Schizosaccharomyces pombe: one gene and its partners. The main gene of each other region encodes a partner of the protein of the gene in region 2 in a complex. Each region holds a gene or a part of one and is shown on either strand. Other genes may lie near its edges. A codon is read from its position in the direction of its gene.

Evidence for each region. Proteins that work in one complex are often made in the same cells at the same time.
Region 1: the proteins of ssp2 (region 2) and amk2 are in contact, whole or in part, in a crystal structure (PDB 2OOX), measured with the Schizosaccharomyces pombe proteins. Residues at the interface, in NP_588376.1 of Schizosaccharomyces pombe: Asn450 (codon at 3,440), Lys451 (codon at 3,437), Trp452 (codon at 3,434), His453 (codon at 3,431), Phe454 (codon at 3,428), Gly455 (codon at 3,425), Val456 (codon at 3,422), Asp461 (codon at 3,407), Ala462 (codon at 3,404), Pro463 (codon at 3,401), Glu464 (codon at 3,398), Leu466 (codon at 3,392), Leu467 (codon at 3,389), Tyr470 (codon at 3,380), Arg471 (codon at 3,377), Gln474 (codon at 3,368), Gln479 (codon at 3,353), Phe480 (codon at 3,350), Thr481 (codon at 3,347), Val482 (codon at 3,344), Pro483 (codon at 3,341), Lys484 (codon at 3,338), Tyr490 (codon at 3,320), Arg491 (codon at 3,317), Ser492 (codon at 3,314), Met494 (codon at 3,308), Tyr495 (codon at 3,305), Lys498 (codon at 3,296), Ser499 (codon at 3,293), Arg500 (codon at 3,290); in NP_588485.1 of Schizosaccharomyces pombe: Ser205 (codon at 1,084), Glu206 (codon at 1,081), Gln207 (codon at 1,078), Tyr208 (codon at 1,075), Ser209 (codon at 1,072), Thr210 (codon at 1,069), Glu211 (codon at 1,066), Ile212 (codon at 1,063), Pro213 (codon at 1,060), Phe215 (codon at 1,054), Leu216 (codon at 1,051), Thr217 (codon at 1,048), Leu221 (codon at 1,036), Lys225 (codon at 1,024), Leu226 (codon at 1,021), Pro227 (codon at 1,018), Lys228 (codon at 1,015), Pro229 (codon at 1,012), Pro230 (codon at 1,009), Ser231 (codon at 1,006), Leu232 (codon at 1,003), Pro233 (codon at 1,000), His235 (codon at 994), Leu236 (codon at 991), Lys238 (codon at 985), Cys239 (codon at 982), Leu241 (codon at 976), Asn242 (codon at 973), Leu261 (codon at 916), Asn263 (codon at 910).
Region 3: the proteins of ssp2 (region 2) and cbs2 are in contact, whole or in part, in a crystal structure (PDB 2OOX), measured with the Schizosaccharomyces pombe proteins. Residues at the interface, in NP_588376.1 of Schizosaccharomyces pombe: Arg448 (codon at 3,446), Ile503 (codon at 3,281), His505 (codon at 3,275), Cys506 (codon at 3,272), Arg508 (codon at 3,266), Lys511 (codon at 3,257), Thr513 (codon at 3,251), Tyr538 (codon at 3,176), Lys539 (codon at 3,173), Asp540 (codon at 3,170), Ser543 (codon at 3,161), His551 (codon at 3,137), Met553 (codon at 3,131), Asp554 (codon at 3,128), Leu556 (codon at 3,122), Ser558 (codon at 3,116), Phe560 (codon at 3,110), Pro561 (codon at 3,107), Asp564 (codon at 3,098); in NP_001342925.1 of Schizosaccharomyces pombe: Leu52 (codon at 1,823), Trp61 (codon at 1,742), Ser63 (codon at 1,736), Glu64 (codon at 1,733), Ala65 (codon at 1,730), Asn66 (codon at 1,727), Asp147 (codon at 1,484), Val148 (codon at 1,481), Asp149 (codon at 1,478), Glu151 (codon at 1,472), Thr152 (codon at 1,469), Ser154 (codon at 1,463), Met156 (codon at 1,457).

The regions. Positions count from the first base shown.
Region 1 is NC_003421.2:2,206,985-2,212,321, forward strand, and holds amk2 (serine/threonine protein kinase AMPK (beta) regulatory subunit Amk2), read right to left. Parts: upstream 2,044-5,337; 5' UTR 2,016-2,043; coding exon 1,991-2,015; exon of another isoform or gene 1,938-1,990; coding exon 1,677-1,937; exon of another isoform or gene 1,507-1,676; coding exon 1,404-1,506; intron 1,308-1,403; coding exon 839-1,307; intron 791-838; coding exon 752-790; 3' UTR 501-751; downstream 1-500. Other genes in the region: pbn1 (GPI synthesis protein pig-X), read left to right, coding at 1-486; SPOM_SPCC1919.04 (uncharacterized protein), read left to right, coding at 4,119-4,889. UniProt on the Schizosaccharomyces pombe protein: Beta subunit of AMP-activated protein kinase (AMPK), which is required for transcriptional, metabolic, and developmental adaptations in response to glucose limitation.
Region 2 is NC_003421.2:1,926,761-1,934,880, forward strand, and holds ssp2 (serine/threonine protein kinase AMPK catalytic (alpha) subunit Ssp2), read right to left. Parts: upstream 5,215-8,120; 5' UTR 5,098-5,214; coding exon 4,950-5,097; intron 4,898-4,949; coding exon 4,665-4,897; intron 4,457-4,664; coding exon 4,105-4,456; intron 4,055-4,104; coding exon 3,057-4,054; 3' UTR 2,430-3,056; downstream 1-2,429. Other genes in the region: ppn1 (cleavage and polyadenylation specificity factor complex-associated protein), read right to left, coding at 1-657, 709-919, 1,040-1,120, 1,279-1,447. UniProt on the Schizosaccharomyces pombe protein: Serine/threonine protein kinase essential for release from glucose repression via the phosphorylation of scr1 upon glucose deprivation.
Region 3 is NC_003424.3:3,806,632-3,812,057, forward strand, and holds cbs2 (protein kinase activator), read right to left. Parts: upstream 2,072-5,426; 5' UTR 2,040-2,071; coding exon 2,004-2,039; intron 1,941-2,003; coding exon 1,817-1,940; exon of another isoform or gene 1,763-1,816; coding exon 1,404-1,762; intron 1,357-1,403; coding exon 1,200-1,356; intron 1,145-1,199; coding exon 816-1,144; 3' UTR 501-815; downstream 1-500. Other genes in the region: phosphomannomutase Pmm1, read left to right, coding at 1-218; tma19 (translationally-controlled tumor protein), read right to left, coding at 2,897-3,403; SPOM_SPAC1F12.04C (uncharacterized protein), read right to left, coding at 4,435-5,010.

The DNA.
Region 1 (5,337 bases), 280 kb from region 2:
AGGTACGAGCTATCTAATATTGCGGAAATGCATGCCGACAATTTAGGGCATGTTTTAGGAATTTGGGGTGAGACCGACTTGGAAGCACCTAGTTACAAATTAAATGGTACTGGGTCTTTTTTCTGGTTTGACATATATACGGACGATGGTTTGTTGCAAAAAGACTATATAGACACTATCATTCCCTTACACACACGTTATCAAAGCCCTCTCAAAGGACAAACATACTTAAAAACATCATTAACAAATCCCAAGTTTTTCTGGAATTGTGACACTGAAGACAAAGTAAATGATTTCAGATTTCTGTTTTCCAGTAAGAACAAATATACCTTACAAAACGATCCAACAACCTTAAGCATATCTATTCCAATAGCCGATTTATCCTATAAACATGTCGTAGAATGGGTGACTAATGGAGTCGCGATTTTTTCGTTCTTCTACCTATTGCTATATTTGTGGAAAAGGTTCCGTTACGCAAAGGATTAAGAGAATAACATCGTGAAGTGAAGTAACTAGATATGTATTTATAAAAATTAATTAACCTATGGATCGCTACATAGTGAAATATGAACTGGTTGCTTTGTGCTTGATATCACAGCGTAAAGTTTTCTCGAAACAAAATCGTGCAAATAAACCAATCAAATGAAGTATAATGATGGGATGTTTGAGAAATTTAAAAAAATAAATTTATCATTAAAGTGATTATATACGTCGCGAAATATAAACAATAAATTCGACAGATGCGGTATGGCTAGACATCAAAATTTTTAAACATAGCAGTAGTGACATACTGGGGAAACAAAGTTAGTCAAGCAACGCGTATAAGGAACCGACTTACCTTTCGATGATAGCGCGTAGTAGCACTTAAAGCGAGAACGCCTAACTGGGTATTTGCAGCTGCTAAATGGTTTAAAAGGACGTGATTAGGATTTGGCAAGACAGACTGATCCTCCTTATAGGCAGTATTTGAGTTAAGGATACACTTCTCAAGATGAGGAGGTAGAGAAGGGGGCTTTGGCAACTTCAACTCTTGAAGGGTGTTGCTAGTAAGAAAAGCTGGTATCTCCGTAGAATATTGCTCAGATTCAGACTTTTCCTCCATCGGAAGGTCCGTATGAACTTGACTCAATCTTTCATCAATACTAGCGCCTAACTTCTCATTAGCTTCCACCTCGAGGTAGTTGTAAAGGTTGCCTTCCGCATCGGTGGCAGTTGGAAAATCTGAAGAACAGCACCATATACCATCAACCAAGAATTTAAAACGCTGAGTTCCAGGACGTAATTGCAAAAGGACAGTGTAATCTTCGCTATTTGGCGAAAAAGTTAGCAAGCTTAAAACAGGATAAACAACCTATAAAGGGAGGCTCAAATATAGAAAAAAGCACACCATGAAAAACTCATACCTTTTCAGTAATTGGATTTTTTTCTTCCAACGAGAAAACGATCCAGTGACATAAACAACTTCACCGCCTCCTCTCCATCGAATAATGGTTGGCACACAAGGACCTATATGTGTAAGTAATTAAATTGTCAATTGCAAAAAATCTCCTTTCTGAAAACTATTGCAAACAAACGTTAAGGTCAACAGCTTAAATGATAATGCAATGTTACGGTAAATCACCCTTGTTACATAAGGATGTCAAGCAATCAAATAAACCGGTCTTAAAGAAACTTACCAGAATAAGGCTGATGTGTCTTCTTGCCTGAAGTTTGAGAACGGCGTTTCGTATGACCACTCGATCCTGAAGTTCCGTTTTGGGAAGTACGATTATTACCGCCTTCCTGCTGATTATCATCCGACATTTCACCTTCTTGATTCAAATCATCTGCAGCAATACTAATCATGCTTTGGGCACGTGGTTCTTTTGGAACGTTATTTGCATTGTCAGGCGTTGTTGTGGCATCTTGAGAAGGGACAGCATGTGCGCGAGTCTCTCCTAACATTAAATTAGATACTTATTTCACATGTGTTTAACTTAAAGGACATTACCCTCCTGAGATTGAACATTTCCCATTTTGAAATGATGTAAAGTAGTTTGTTCTGGCTTTGTAGCTCATCACTTTGAACTAAACCCCAACGAGCATGAAATAAGGTTATTTATTGTATCTAAGCTATCATTAAATAGTGGAAGCTAAAGTGCAGCGTTATTCACAGTTAAACGCTTCGTACTGTTTTGCAGCTTTATCAAAGAAAACATTAATTGAAAATCCATTTATTATAAAGAATAAATATCTAAAAGCTGTATGATAAAAGCTGAAAAATTTAATATTGCATTTGGGACGTATAATACAGTTCTACAACAGCTATGTATAATCTTTTGAAGGTAAAAAGCAGCATGCTTCTCATTCTTAATGGAAATGTTTAAAAAATTATTGAAGCTACATATGAAACGATATAGAAAAATTTTAAACTACTCTGTGCATTGAGAGGCCTTCAAGTTAATTATACACTAAAAGCGGTTCACTTATAATTATTGTAACTTAGCGAGGCTTTAATTGAGTTAAACTTCCATAACCGAAAGGCCTGCATATTATATGTTTATAAATTAATGAATACCTTGTACATTACGCTCGTATAGCTTCATCTTTTTTAACTACGTTCTAGTATAACAATATATAAGTATGGCGCAAAAACTTCTTTCGTAAAAAAGACGCTTCTATTTCTCAGACGAAATCACTCAAATTAAGTTACGAACTTAAAAAAAGCCTGAATTTCTAGATATCAAATGCTCTATTTCCGTCAATTTTTCATGTCTACTTATTATGCTGCGAAATAAGCGAACTAAAATCACTGCATTGCAAAAACAAGAACAGTGTTTTCAATGAACGTACTGATTAAATACATTCCATATGAAACGAAGAATATATTATTTTTTAGTTAAATGACGACTTTACCAAACCAAACGTGAATTTTTGTTGCGATGAATCCTTCACTTTATAATCTATAACGAAGCAAAGTAGTGAAAACTTATATGTTGTTAGTACGCAGCTCAGTATTGGTTTAATGATACAATAAAGTATGAAGTATTGTTTTTTGATATGATATGTTCCATTACAAAAATGTCATGAATTGAAGTACATATGGTTGAATATGCTGTTAGAGTACTCTTTCCGTTCACCTAACTCAAACGAAATTTTGATTTCAGTGGTAATCTTTTTATGCTGTTTTAAAGCCACGAACACGAGGAAGGATTTGAAATAGACCGTTTAAATATACAAATTATACCCATACATATCCTAGAGGCTTTTAATGAATAACCTACGCGATTTATTGTTTGCTACGTAGTTTGGTATTTGTTTAGCGATACACTAAAATGCGATGAGTTTCTTTTGCGGGCTACAAGATAACGGTATGGGTATGCTTCACTAACAATATTATATTTATTGTTATAAGTCTACTAGTATTGGTGACCGATTTAGCTAATAACTGAACTGAGGAACGAGGTTCAGTTTGTCTTAATTTAAAGCATTGAAAAAACTATGTAATAAAATAACATCTTTTTATTATTGAACACTATTATAATCTTCTTGATAACTTATCTTGTAAGTAAATAGAGCAAATAGAATATTAGAGCATATGTTATAGTGTATCGTAGTGTATTTTATATAAGCTGACATTAATGTATTGTAGGAATAGTAGTATTTAGAATTGGTATGTACGCTACGCAGTTTGGTATCTGATTTAAGGATACGTAGAACTACGGTGAGTTTTCCTTGTGATCTATTATATTACAATACACAGGTTGTATAAGTAGCAACTGAGTATAGGTATTGTATTAACTGGGTTATAATGTTACCTATCACTAATATAGCTCATAACTGAACTGAGGAACGAGGTTCAGCAGTAGCTCTATTTATAGTATTCAGATAATATTGATCTTAATAGATTATCATTAAGATCAATCTCCATATCGTATCATACATGGTACGATATATAATTAGAACATGTGACATATAGTGATACGCAACGTAGTGTATCATAGCGTAGTGTCATATTGCTGACATGGTATACAAGATAGTGCATTACGCAAACAACTTGAAAGGGCACCTTCCTTGATCACTTACATCCAGAGTGCTAATTATTAAGAGCACTAATTTAAAACTTTTTTGTTTAAGACATGGATCTCTCGTTTATTGAGGGCTTTGAAACTATATGGACTGTAGTCAGAGCTGTAGTGCTCAATTACTTATTAAGAAGCCTTAAAATTCTATCTACCATCCTATATGTGAGCGCTGTCATTTCCTGGAACGTTAGCTTGAAGGTCTTTGGTAATGTACTACTTCCAGGTTTTCTCACAATAAGAACAGTTGTAATATTTATTTTACGAATTGTGAGCCTATTTTTATGGATCCTTGCTGATCCTGCTATTCTTTTGGTTCAAAGCGTGTATTGGTACTTTATTCGTGCGCCTGCAAGATTCATTTTAATGGTCGGAATTACTTTATATCCATTGTATGTTTTGCTATCATGGGCTGTATTTCTTGGAATCATTGTAGGGTTCAGTTTGAATTCCGTTTTTACTTTCATTGATTCTTTTGCAACGCCATCGTCCAATTCCACTGTTACGGAAGCCATGACAAAGATGAAAAATGAAAAAGTTTTAGAATATCCTTACAAAGATAGAAATATTATGTTGGGTGATTTGGCTTCTCGAATTCCTTCGAAGGATTCCGAAAAACTTGACGAAGAACGTCAACCAATTGCTCTCGAAAAGACGAAATCTCTCGATTCCATTAGTCATTCCTCATCTTCCTCTAGAAAATCTAGCACAGAACTTAAGATACCTCCTGTTGAGACCAGAATTGTTGCTGAGATTCCGGTTCCTTCATCTGTGAAACGACGGAGGCATCGCCCTAACAAATCAATGGGATCTATTAAAAATTCCTGAAAAGGAAATTAAAAGAATGAATTATCTCCTCTTGATTTCGATTCATTTGTTGTTTTGAAATCACAATTATTATCTATTAAAAAGGCAGTTATCCGTGTTGCAAATTGCCATTTACTAATATGTTATGTTTTTAATGAGTTAAAAAAAAAGACTTTCCTTCTCGATGTTTTGCTGGATTCTTTTTTGATTTTGCTTAATTTACTAATGCTCTTTCTTCTTAATCCGATTTTTTCTTTTGATACCTTCTTGAATGAACAGATCACTGACAAAACGCATATTTATGTTTGCAAGTGGATATCCTGACTCTTCTAAATGAATAACTTGTTTTTTGATCCTGTTAGATATATACGAGAACAAGAAAATTTCTGGAGTTTGGACCTTTGATTGGTTTCCTGCAAATCTAGCAGCATATTCGTTGTAGTAAGTTTTGGGTAAACGGCTAGAGACT
Region 2 (8,120 bases):
CTTGGTTTATTAGACGCAGACGGGGCCATCGCCGGACCAGCCGGGGCCATAACGACTGCGGAAGATGAAACAGTCGAATCGTTCTTCGTAGAGCTCTTCTCATTTTCTCTATTTTGTTCAATAGTAAAACTTTTCTCGGCCAGTTCAGAAAGATTTTCAGCAAGCTGGCGTATAACGGAATTGGTAGACTTTTTTTTTACGATTAAAATTGGTTTGCCAAACTTAACCTCAGCTAGCTTCTCAGTCGTAAGAGGAAGATTAGCTAGCACGAGCAGTATTAAATGAATGAGTTCGTCGTGTTTAGAACGAATAGCTGATACAAACCAGTTACGTAGTTTAGGAAGGAACAATTTACGACCGCCGTCAACAAGTTGGCTATAAATACTATTCCCCACTTTGCTTTTAAGAAGATCTAGAAAAACTAATTTTTGATCATCTTGGGTGATATTGCTCATGAGATTAACAAGGATTGCAGCACATTCTTTTGGAGCTTGGACGATGTTAATTGGGTTTAAACACTCAGTCAGAGTAAGGCGCAAATCTTCTAACGGATCAGAGGAAGAAATTTTTTGACGAGATTTAGATTTTAATCGTGCAAGCATTTGAACGTTCACGTCTGATTTTGATGATGGTACTTCATGGGAGGCGGTATTTAAACTAAGGCGCTTCGTTAGTCATAAATAAATTTTTAAGGCAAAATAAACTTACGAAGATCCTGAATCCGGATTCCTTGAAGTATGACTTGGATTATTAACATATGGATTGGCTGAGATAGAGGTATGATTAGTATTTTGTGATTGAGAGTCATTGGAAGGAGAAATGCCAGGAGAACTTGGTTCCTTATTAGAGGACAAGGATTGTGATGGGGAGCCAGTTTGCGAAGATCCAGAAGATATGAGTGATGGATTGGATGAGGCAACTAAGATAAATATTAGCAAATTGAACGAATCAAAAAAGAAAAAGAAAAATTGAGAACATAGGAAAACTCAGTATAGTAGAGATAAAAATAAAAAGAATGAATAAACAAAAGAAAATATACCTGAAGGCATTGTAGCTAACAATGAAGCATCTTTATGTGACAGAGGTGACTGGGAGTGTTGAAACACATGAGGTTCTAAGCCTAAGGGCAACAATTAGTAGAATTCTAAGAGAAAGGATCAAAAATAGCAGAGAAAAAAGAGAGAACAAGCAATCAAGACATCACTCGCTACAGCCCGTAGAGGCAAATATTTCAAATTATTGACCAACTCTCTATCCCCGCTTTAATAGCCTGCATACCAGGGAAAGCACTCATTAACTTTTCATCTAAGTTTTCTTCTAAATCAGGACTCAGATTAATAAATTCCGGTTTTCCACTATACTCATTGGAAGTATGTGGAGGATTTTCTGACGTTTTACTTGTTTGTCTATCACTCGACACATTTCGCACGGAATTCCAATTATCCATTAATTAAATATCAAAGAGGTTCAAAGTAATACTCCGAATAAATTGAACCTTTCAGAAATTCGCACTGTGCCGATTTAATCGTTTCCTGAGGATATACGCTGAGAAAGGATCAACGTCGACTACTATTCAAGTAAGGAAACTGAACATGCAACTTTGTGAAATTCGTTGGAGTTCTCTAAACCCTTCGCTACACCATCGTGTATATTAATAGTTAAAACTAAATAAAAAAATATAATTTTAGTAGATTTTTAATTTTTTAATTATATTGACAATAATAGAAGACTTAAGAAGCATTTTTGGCGTGTGGGACTTGGTATGCCAAATGGCTTTCCAGCTGTAAACAAAATGATTCACCGTTTTTAGATCGGATCAATCTTTTCACGAATTCCGTTAGAAAAAATTAAGAATAAAAGGATATTATACTCTTATTTTTTTCTTCATTCTCTTGTGATTTTGAACCCATCTCTTTTTCCTCATACATTAACCGGTCTTCATATTAACGTCTGTTATTAGATAGTAAACATAATTTATACATTGTTTTTTTTTTTTGAGAGTAAGCTGTGCACCAGTTCTATGAACGGAGTATTTTTATTTATTTTTTGCAGAATGGAACAAATTAATCTATATACTAACTGTGGAATGTATGAATCCTTTAGACAAAATGAATGAAAATACCTTCTACAAATTTTGAGGAATATATAGTAGGATTTTCAAATAATTTAAATATTGAGACATACAAAAATTAAGAATACCAATCATTTGTTCTCGTTTCATAATTCACATTTTGTGTCTATAACTTTCTTTATTAGCTTTTTTCTTTATCACACTAAAGTTGACATTTCTATTGACATTCTTTATGAAAAGAAATTTGCAAAATTTGATGTACAGATGTTTTAACAATTTTTTTTTTAAAAAAAAAAGGGGGGGGGGGGAATTGCTTTCTTCATAAAGTTCAACTAATTACAAACAAGCTAGCATAGTATTTTAAATAGAATTGGTTTGTATTTGAATTAAAGTAAAGATAAAGGAAAATAATACTCTTTATGGACTAGTTCCTCGATGTCGCAGCTGCAAGTCGTTCTTAAATTGCAAAAAAAAATTGCATATTAACTAGTCTTTGATTTGATTCTCGTTTACATTAACATAAACGTATAAATTTTTTTTTTCTTAACGGTTTTCTTTATTATTAAAAGAAAGGTGAGCATATATAATCAACATCGTCATGCATATAGATAAATGGGAAATTTCAGTTATCAGAGAAAACCCGCATGAAAAGTAAAAGGACTCAATAAACTCCTAACATTCAGTCATTCGATTATTTCATATCAACAAATGTATTATGGTTATAACAAGATAAATACTTAACGAGTGAAACCAAAATCTTCTGTAAACCGTTGATAATACAATGGCACTAAATTCATCAATTCATAAATGTTTCAACAGAAAATGGCGGTAATTAATCCGGACACTAGTATCTTCATGCAACCTTATTCGCTAAAAGAAAAGGTAAAAAAAATAAAATGTGTCTTTGCTATTGAGTAGATTTGTTCAACAATGGGTAATTAAGGGATGCTTGAAAACAGCGTGTTAAATGGGGAGTTACAATAAATCATGCAGAAAATAACTTGCACACCAGCATAGCACACAAATCTAAAAATGGGAAAGATGACTTAAGATCATCCATGCCATGATCAGCTGTTCGTTCAGGATGAGAATAAATATCTTTGTAACCATTAGATTTCACATCTAGCATAAAACACCCGGGCATAACTTCATAAAGTTGTAACTCAATATAAGCATAAGTATTTTTTCCTTCCCTTTTACAATGAGGAATTTCCCAACGACTTTTAATGGTATACATGTCTGATCGATATTTTCCATTTACTGGTTTTGGAACGGTAAACTGAGCTCCTGCACGTTGTAAAGCTCGATACACAGCCAACAAAATTTCAGGTGCATCGCCCCGGCAGCGAACACCAAAATGCCATTTGTTACGGCGACTCTTTTTGCGAGTGGATTGGCTCGTATCCACAGCACTAGCAGCATCGGCAAGAGTCCTCATTTCAAGTTTATTTTTTTCTGCCGTAGGCACAAGGACACATATGTTACTGTCAATTGTTTGTTTAGCATATGTTGGAGGGTCGGAGACTGTCCAACGCGGTCCTTCTAAAGTAGGATCGATAAGCTCCTGTTTTGACTTCTTTTGCAATTCAGAAGTATATTCTGAAAATGCGGGTGGAGATACAGATAGAAAAGAATCGACTCGTTTTGATTTGGAGAGATGACTCTTTTCTTGGATTACTTGATTTTCATGTAGCAAGTTATAAGCCTCTTTTACTTCATTATTTTCATCTGAACGTAAAGCTTCGACAATGTAATCCTCCGAGAACCCCATTGCCTCACCAAGCTTGCTGACAATTCGTGAATCAGCATAAGAGCCTTGGACCTCCTCCATAGGACGTAAATAATCGGGTAAATTAACGTTGAACCAAGGGTCCCGACGTATTTCCTGAATTGTTATCCTCTGCATTGGATCTGCAACAATCATTCGGCGAATTAAAGATTGTGCTCCGGGAGAAAGAAAATCAGGCATAACATAAACACAACCTAAATACGTTTAGCAAGAGATAAGTAGAAAAAAAAGTGGCCAAACATACTGTTAACTTTTTTAAACAAATTGGGGATAAATTCATCGTCGAAAGGAAGACGACCCACCAACATCACATAGAGAACAATGCCGCAACTCCAAACATCGACTTCTGGACCAGCATACAATTTCCCGTTGATAACTTCCGGGGCTGCATAATTTGGACTGCCACAGGACGTTTTTAGGAAATTACCGTCTGTCATAATATTTGATAAACCGAAATCAGCAATCTTTACGTTGAGATTGTCATCCAACAACAAATTTTCGGGTTTAAGATCGCGATGTACAATTTTGTGACGGTGACAGTACTCAATTGCACATATAATTTGTTGAAAAAAACGACGACCCTCATCTTCAGTCATCTTTAAAAACAGTCAGCAAATACATAAATTCGTGCATTCAAATTTGTAAACAAGCCTTCATCAGCAACATTTCAGATGCAAAAACAATTTATCTTTTTCTATTTTTAAAAAAGACAATCGGATAACTTGTACATTTTGACAAATCAAACCAATCCAACATCACTTCTGAAATTTACTGTAACAAAAACTCGCAAACCGCACCACTTACCCTTTTCTTTTCTACAATATAATCAAACAATTCACCACCTGCATATTCAATTACCATAACGATATCTGTGGGCGTGGTTATCACATCATACAATTTAATAATATGAGGATGTCGCAAAAGCTTCAAGTATGAAATTTCACGCTCCACACGCATATGCATATCGCTTTTCTTTAGCAATTGACGGGAGATAAACTTGAGAGCAACTTTCTGTTGCGTTTTGTAATGAGTAGCGACTACAAGTACGTTAGTCTCTATTCTCATGATATTAAATATTAGCAATCTTACGCTTGACTTTGCCAAAAGAACCTTCACCAAGGGTTTCCCTTATAATATAAGGGCCGATATGGCGCTTGGATATGGCTTCTGGTGGTAAAACTCTTGCTCCATTTCGCATGGTTGAGTTCTCCATTAAATCAACCTCCTGCGGTTGCATTATCAGCTATTCGCTTGGCAAATCCAATATTGAAAGTTTATTGATAAAATCTTTTTTTCCTTAATAGCAAGGCTTAAATTTCAGAGTGTGAGATAAATATATAATTTGGTAGAAGGCAAAGCCATAGTATACATCCTTAGTTGTGTCACATGAGATGATATGAATTGGACTCGTTAATTCGTTTAAAATAACACTATACAGTTTTTTAAGCCACCGTTTTACTAGTTAACGAAGTTGCGTCACAATGCGGAATTTTACTCAATGAATTAAAATTCTACTACACTATTCATTTTAATGCAAACTGCAAACTCTTATTTAACTAACCCAGTTAACTGTTCCAATAAAATACTTATACATGTTACAGTGTTCGCATTTCAATCTTGGCTGTATAAGTAATAACATGATCCAAGTATGATTAAGCAGTTTATTATGTTTGTAAAGAACCCATCCCAGATATAATGGAACACACGGCGTACCCCACAGTCTTCATAAGATGGTTGTTAAGTGCAGCGTTGTGTATCGCATTATAACGCTCTTGTCAAATCTTCGTTGAGTTTGTAAACAATTAAGTACTGGTTGAGTTAATACAAAAAAAAGGAAATGAACAAGCTTTTTATTAGAAAAGAGTCTTCATATTGGATGTGATTTCTCAGCAACATTTAAACAGTGATCATGAATATAACGAGCCTGAACTGATTTCATTTGTTTACAAGGCACACAGACTAATTATCACTGTTTCTTGCATGAAAGTCTTTGCTTTGACGAAAAAATTTAATATTCTAAGAAAAGCTATCAATCAAAATCCAAATAAAAATTTTTTTAGAAAGCAGGGAAGTGTTTTCGAAGTCAACAACTTGTATGATAATATAAGAATGCAATAAAAATACAGCGCAATTTACCCTGAACGAATTTTATAGCTTGTTTGGGGTAAATCACAATCACAGGAATGCTTTTTTATTTGGACATCCTCGTAAACAAGTTTCGTGTAAAAAGCATCTTTGTAATTCAAATAGTAAAGTTAGCATGTGATTGGACTTTATTTACAAAATTCATTTCACACGATGAATAGAGGTTTCTTCATTCACATGCTGTCTGGCATCACGATCTATAGGTGTTAAGCAAACACATTTAAAGTGATACTTTTTTATATAATAGAATATGCCACCATAAGTTAGTTCGCAAATTTTTAGCTTTAGGTCAAACTACGCAATTAAAACTTTGCGCTACGTGTAGTAGTACGGTAAATTTCGTTGTGGTTTATTAATTATAGTATACAGATATCATGAGTAGCAATTAATTTTATGTATTGATATATGGGTTAAATCGTTACCCATCACTAAACTAGCTTATAAGTGAATGTCGTTCCTGAGTTCAATTTGGCTCTATTTATATTTCATCCTAATTTATTAAACCACAAACATTCTAGATGAACAGTTATCCGCGATTATCAGTATTTAAACGGGTCTTAAAACTATATTAACATAAGGAAACATGCTGATACACAACGTAATGTATTTTAACGCAGGGTAGTATTGCTGACACTAATTTGCAATGACTTTCTTGTTAACTCGCGTTTTAGTAAATAAAAACATTAATTTCGTTTAATTTGAAATTAAAGCAAAAAGACATTATATGTTTTCCTAAAATCATTAATGATGTAGACATATCAATGCCTTGCCAACTCGCGAATTAACATGTTTATCGTATTGTTGTCAGCAAACGGGATAAGAGTTTTGCCTCATATTGCTTGGCAAACAGTAAGTCTACTTTCTTTTTGAATTTAATTCATGAACGAGTTAAAAATTTTGACACAAATTCTTGTTTCTGCAGTACAATGATTTGCTTGTCGCACACATTCACAGTCATTGTATAACTATCCTCGTGTAAACATCGCAGATCTCTACATTGCAAACGTCCTCTATTTCAGTATAGTATAACTCTATCTAATCCTTTGTTCATTTCAAAATGCCAAGTTTGAGGTATGGATTAGGGAGATACTCTTTCATGTTGCTTGTTCAAAGAGAAAAATATTAAAAATCGAGGAAATTCAGAAGAACAAGAAAAGTGTGTAGTATTGGGAAGCGTTTGAGATTTATAAAGGTCCTCTAAAATAAAAAAGAACGACTTTAGGATTGACATATGAATTTTTCCGAAAAACTAAAGCACATTGGAAGATGAATATATTCTGATAATTAATTAATTGCGTAAAGGATGTCAATGTAAAATGCTAAGGCAGAGAGCTGGGTTCAGTCGTCGATTTTAAGCCTCGAGAATCGCCAGCTAATTGAAGAAAGAAGAGGTAAGTAAATAAAACTTGGGAGGCAAAAACGCAGTTGACAAGAATTTAAAAAAAAAAGTGAAGATGAAGATGAAGATGAACAATATTTTACTTACTATCCAAACAATTTAATATGACAATAGCATACAACAAATTACAATGTCATGCTAGGTTTCCCTAATTTTTTTGGTATTCTGACTTTCAACTTTTCTGATATGATTGTTGATTTCCCGACTTGTTTACGCATCTCGTTTCTCCAGGTTTTTGTATCGACGTCCTTCATCATATGTTAACTCTATCGGGGATTAGAAAAAAAGGCGCAAAATTAAACAATCAAAGATTGCCGCCATGCAATGATTTCAAATCCAATCTACCCACATCCGCTATCTAAGGTATTTACCGAGAAAGAACTCGACAAGACGGTTATATTATAGAGAAATGAAAAGAAGGTTGATATTAGAGGAAAGAGGATTGTATTGCGAATAGAAATGATGTTTGGCTCATTCTATATGAAACTTTGTCAATTTACTTCTTCTTGTTTTATTTAAGTTGAAACGATTTACTTTTCTTTTTATTCGTTATTAGTTGTTTTTTATTTGATTTTGTTTTGGATAGCTGTAGTCATATGTATGCTTTTTTTTCGGTTTCATTATTCTTTTCATTTCTACATTTCTTACAGATAGTTTATTTTGCAAAATCAATTAAAAAAAAACAGTTCTGATGATAAGGATAATACACTTGCAAA
Region 3 (5,426 bases), on a different chromosome or scaffold from region 2:
GTCAAATCTCTTTTGATGTGTTCCCTGCTGGTTGGGATAAGACATATTGCTTGCAACACGTAGAGAAAGAGGGATTTGATACAATTCACTTTTTTGGAGACAAGACATACAAAGGCGGCAATGATTATGAAATTTTTGTCGACCCTCGTACTATCGGACATTCTGTTACTAATCCTGACGATACCATTGCTGAACTCAAGAAAATTTTTAACATATAGATGAGTTTGTAGTGTGTTGATTAGATATGCGTCCCTCTCTTATCATTACGGAAAAGGTTAGCTTTCTTAGTTGTAAATAACTACTTCATATGCTCGGCGAGTGTGAAGTTTCTTGCACACAATTGATCTGTCATTTAACTCGTACATCTTCCATAATTATTGGTAGCATGGAATGCGAAGAACATTAAATTATTGTAATCTACTGCCAACGCAGCTTTTAATACTCATACCTGAACAATATGCATATATGAAAGAATATTTACAAGAAAATTACACTTACGATCGGTTAATTGATGCATTCCTAGAAAAATGCGAACTTAGTAGCTAATGAAAGGCATGTGTTAGTTATTTAATTAGATAGGCATTAGCATAATGGTACAAGTCACATCATATTATATAGACAGAAGTTGTAATAACCGAATTAATACTTTTTGAAATAAAAGAAGCCTCATTCGAGTACACTGAATTAGATACCACCTCGAGCTGCCATGCAAAAAAAAAGAAACAACTCAACGGTTTAACTTCAAATATCATGAGACTTGGCAATGTTTTCAACAGATTATGAATGCATTCAGGCTGAAGCGCACGAGAATCAAATTATACGGCAGATTCAAAATTATCAGTTTGTTCGGGAACGCCGGGCGTAGTCGTTTTATCGTATATTATGTAATTTAAAATATCAGCCAAAGATAAAATACCTTCGAGCTTCAAGTTTTCATCAACCACGAAAAGACGATGAACCCTGGAATGCTTAATAGCATCAAAAATACCATCCAAACGATCAGTAGCTCGACAAGTGTGGACGCCATCAAAGTTAGCTGGTCTTTTCAATAAAGCCTCGCCTACGCTCAAGTCTAAATTACTATAATCACCATCTTGTATAAGATGCATTACATCCACCGATTCATAGACATTTAGCAGGGTACCTGCTCAGTTAATATATAAATTATTCACAGAAAAAATTCAAAACATCTCACAAACCTTCAGAATTAACGATTGGGACGGCAGATATATTCTTTTCGGCAAGCATTTTAATAACATCATAGACTTTCGTTTCCATAGACGCGGTAGCTAAATTTGACCATGTCCCAATTGTCATTTGGTTTAATGGTACCCGTAGCATTGCGGTTTCTTTGCACTAAATTTGAAATTAGTAAATATAAAAACATAACACGATTTACGAACATTCATGGAGATAAATTTCAAAATTCGATATTGTGTCAAAACAGATACAATCATTTCGCTGCCTGTCTCGCCATCTACGTCAATTAAAGGAATTCTTCTAGCACGGCTCTTTGACATGGCTAAGCAAGCATCCATAAGACTATGCATTGGATGAACATATATAGTTTCCGGAGGAATGGCGCCAATCTTTCTTTCCACTTCACGAAGTCCCAACAATCGAAATTTGTCAATCTCAGCTATAGCCTCGGGAAATGAAGAGCTTTGGTAATAATACTTAATAACATTGACGAAATCCGCCATCGTTAAAAGGCCCGCAAACTTATTCGCTTCACTGTCCCATAAAGGAGCACTGACGATATCTAAGACGTGATTAATAAGTTGATTTCACATCTGTAATGAAAAATCTTTCGTACTGTTTAATGTAAGAAGAGAAAGTGATGTTTTTACAAAAAGCGTAACATCGAACACGATTAAACGGAAGGACGTAGGCAAAACATCGTAACTTGTACGCGAGCGTATAAATGCTTGAATTTCTTTCTGTACATCACATAGATTAATAATTATTTCTATTTAATAAAAAATCTATTCCATATCACTTACGAGTGCTCCTTTTTGGGTCTCTTGAACGTCTGTCATGACCTCGTCAAAGGATATATGGTGTGGTTGGTAAAAGAGACTAGATAAATGAGCGAGGGGAATGGTAACCCGCACAAGGGCAACAAATCGAGGTGTTAAGTAATTAGTTGCAAATAGTACAATGCCTAAATTATGCGTATTTGTTAGTGCTTTTAAATGATATATTTCACTTAGGGGAATATTGTAGCTAAACTCGTTGATTTAAACTGCTTATATAGTTTACTATTTAAACGTAACAATATACATTGACAAAATTAAATGCAACTAGTCTATTAACTCAATGATAAGATTGATTAAAAGGCTTAACAATTAAGCATAAATTTAATCCAATAGTCGTCCGCTACAAAAATAACATCGTCGAGCAAAAATTTCCCAAATCTTTAGTACTAACAGTAAACTATAGTTTCGACTGTAACAAAGTTTCAATGGCTACCGGGTCGTCTAGTGTCGCCATAACAAAAGTTTGGCTATTCCTCGTAAAGGACTTGAATTATCAACTTCGATAAAAAGCAAAAAAATACACTAAATTAATGGTAAAATACCAAATTTCAAACCATATCCTTACTTACTAAATTATTTCGGCCTGTTAATATATAAATAGATTCATGAATTTTAGCACACACGTTTTAAAACATCGATACCTCAATCTTCCATTCAACCAAATACAAAATCGATAAAAAAACACTAATTTCAATTTGAACATGATTATAAGCTAGCATAATTAATTATTATCAGAACAAAAACCCCTGTTCTAATCCTAATGAAATTTTGTGAAAACTAATTCACAAAACTATAAAATTTAGACATGATATCATGTTCCCAGTTAGAAACTCCCTTATAAGAACCCAAATTTGCATTTAGAACTTCTCAGAAACAAGACCGTCCTTGAAGAAGATCATGTAGGGAGTAATACCATCCTCACGGTAGTTCATTAAGACAACCATTGCGTCGGGATCCATGCTCTCACCAATGTAAAAGTCGTAGTCCTTGAAGTTAGCCAAAATCTTCTTGACGAATCCAATGGCATTCTTCTCGAAAACAGGAACACGCTCGGGGTTGCTTTCTTGAAGACGAGCCTTGATAGCCTTCATGTAACCCTTGATGTAAGACATATAGGACTTCTTGTCAAAAGAAGTAGGGCTTAAACGGAAAGAGTAAACAAGATTGTTTACAGTCTCAGTACCCTCTTCAGCATTCTCCTCAGCATCCTCGGCAGAAGGGTTGGCACCAATGTCAACATCACCACCTTGCTTGACAGTGACCATTTGGCAATCAGCCTCGTAGACAATATCGTCTACCTCCTTCAAGTCGTAGGCGTCAGAAACGAGTTCGTCTCCAGAAATAACGTCCTTGTACAACAACATGGTGATTGCAGATGGTAGCTCATAATTTGACTTCTCGCAGGTTTAATGAGATAAAGCAGTCACAGTTTAGGGCAGGGTTACTGGATTCTAGCCATCCGTATGGAATGCGGTTACGAACAGTATTCACTTTACGTAGTACAGCGTTGTTTTCGATAGATACATTTTGTTTACCAATTCCTTCATTTTTTTCAATTTGTCGTAGTCTGTTCTCCTTTCTTTTAAATAACAATATTCTTTATATTTTCAGATTTTTTTTTAGATGAAAATATCGTTGTACTCAGTCAGTAGTAAATTGTTTTATATTACTGAATCTGATTTTTTGAGTGAAACCATTATGATGCGTGTAAAATTAAGATTAAAGCTGGAATTAAAGTCCAAATGAATTCAACAATTGAACCATATTTAACAGTATGTGTATTAATCTCTATGTTCTTTAATCAACTTGTAACCATTTATGTCGCCTCAAATTTATTATTCGAGCTATTATCCGTCAATTCTTGAGTCGTAATTAGAACATTCTCAACAGTACTGAGCTTCAGAAGAAACCTAAAAAAGTAGTGCATTATAGTTGATAATAATTCCTTAACGTTTATATATGATATACTTAAAAGTATGATATCGTACATCCTCAATTTGAAATTGCAGGGCCATTAAAAACACTCGTTAATAAAGATATTCAGTTCAATTAGAAAAAAATGACAAGGTACATTTTGGTGACAAACAAAGAGTAACTTAATGTTTTCCGTTGATTAAATTTTCGATCAATATCCCAAAATTTAAAACGCTTTAATGGAATGGATTAACGATTAAAATCGACTTCATTTCTAAAACCTTTCAAGCTTTAAACCGATTCAGTCCCTTCATTTAGAATGGCATATTTCGATTTTTGCTGAAAAAACCAAGACGACTGTTACCACTTTTGTTTACTACTTTACTCACATAGACATTCGAGAAAACGAAAAATAGTTGAGCACGAATAGAATTACATGAAAAAAGTAACTTCTATTTAAATTTAAAAAGCTCATTCGTAACTAAGCTCTTTTATTGTGCAAAGAGAGGATTAGTTTTCTAGTTTGTACAATTGCGCTGAAAAGACCAAGAACTCCAATTTGGTGTTTGTGTAAACCAGCTCCATTTTCTACAGACCAGTGAATACACAAAGGAAGGCTAGCCAAGTTTGAAGCTAAGTCTAACTGATGCTCCTTTTCGTCTTCTGTTTTTTCACGCAAAAGCTGGTAAATGGTCAATAAAGTATCGAGAAGCCAAAATCTAGAAGACCAAAGCCATAATTTGTCTTCCAACGGTTTTGATATGGAAATAATCTGTTTGCCGCCTAAGAATGCCAATCCTTCTGTGACATAGTATCCAATATTGATTGCGTTACTCATGTAAGTTTCAGGAGAAGAATCTTTACGAAAATTTACGATTAATTTGTAGAGACCAGGAAGACGTAAAATACATCGAAATTCATTTAGCATAGAAACCAGTTGAGCAGTTGATTTCGAAGATGCTGGATCCAACCTCGCAACGTTGACAAGAATGGCAGCAATTTTGTCAATTCCGCTGGGATTTTGCAGCATCAGGTTTAAAGAATGCATATAAGACATATTTCTCAAAAAATTTCAGCTCTAAGATTTGGTCAATTATATTGTTCACGAAAGGTAGTCTAATTTTCGTATACTTTAGTAGAAAAGCGTAAAATCCAAAAAAATACTAAGTAGCGTATGTAAACGACTAAAATTACCAAATCCAAAGATTATTTGAATGACGATAGATGTCGGTTCGGCAACGTCTTATGGTATAGAGAGTGAGTGTGCTGCTATAGTCGATCGGATCAGCAAACGTTAGCTAGTCTGTTTAGTACACCAATAGATTTGATAAGAAAAATCTACAGTGCAGCAAAGTGAAATGTTATTTTATGAGTTGATCGATTTTACTTTTAGAATTACAAATGATAAGATATGATAACTTTCTCCAGTTATCACGTCGATTAGATCGCCGGAAATAACTCCGATATTGAGGA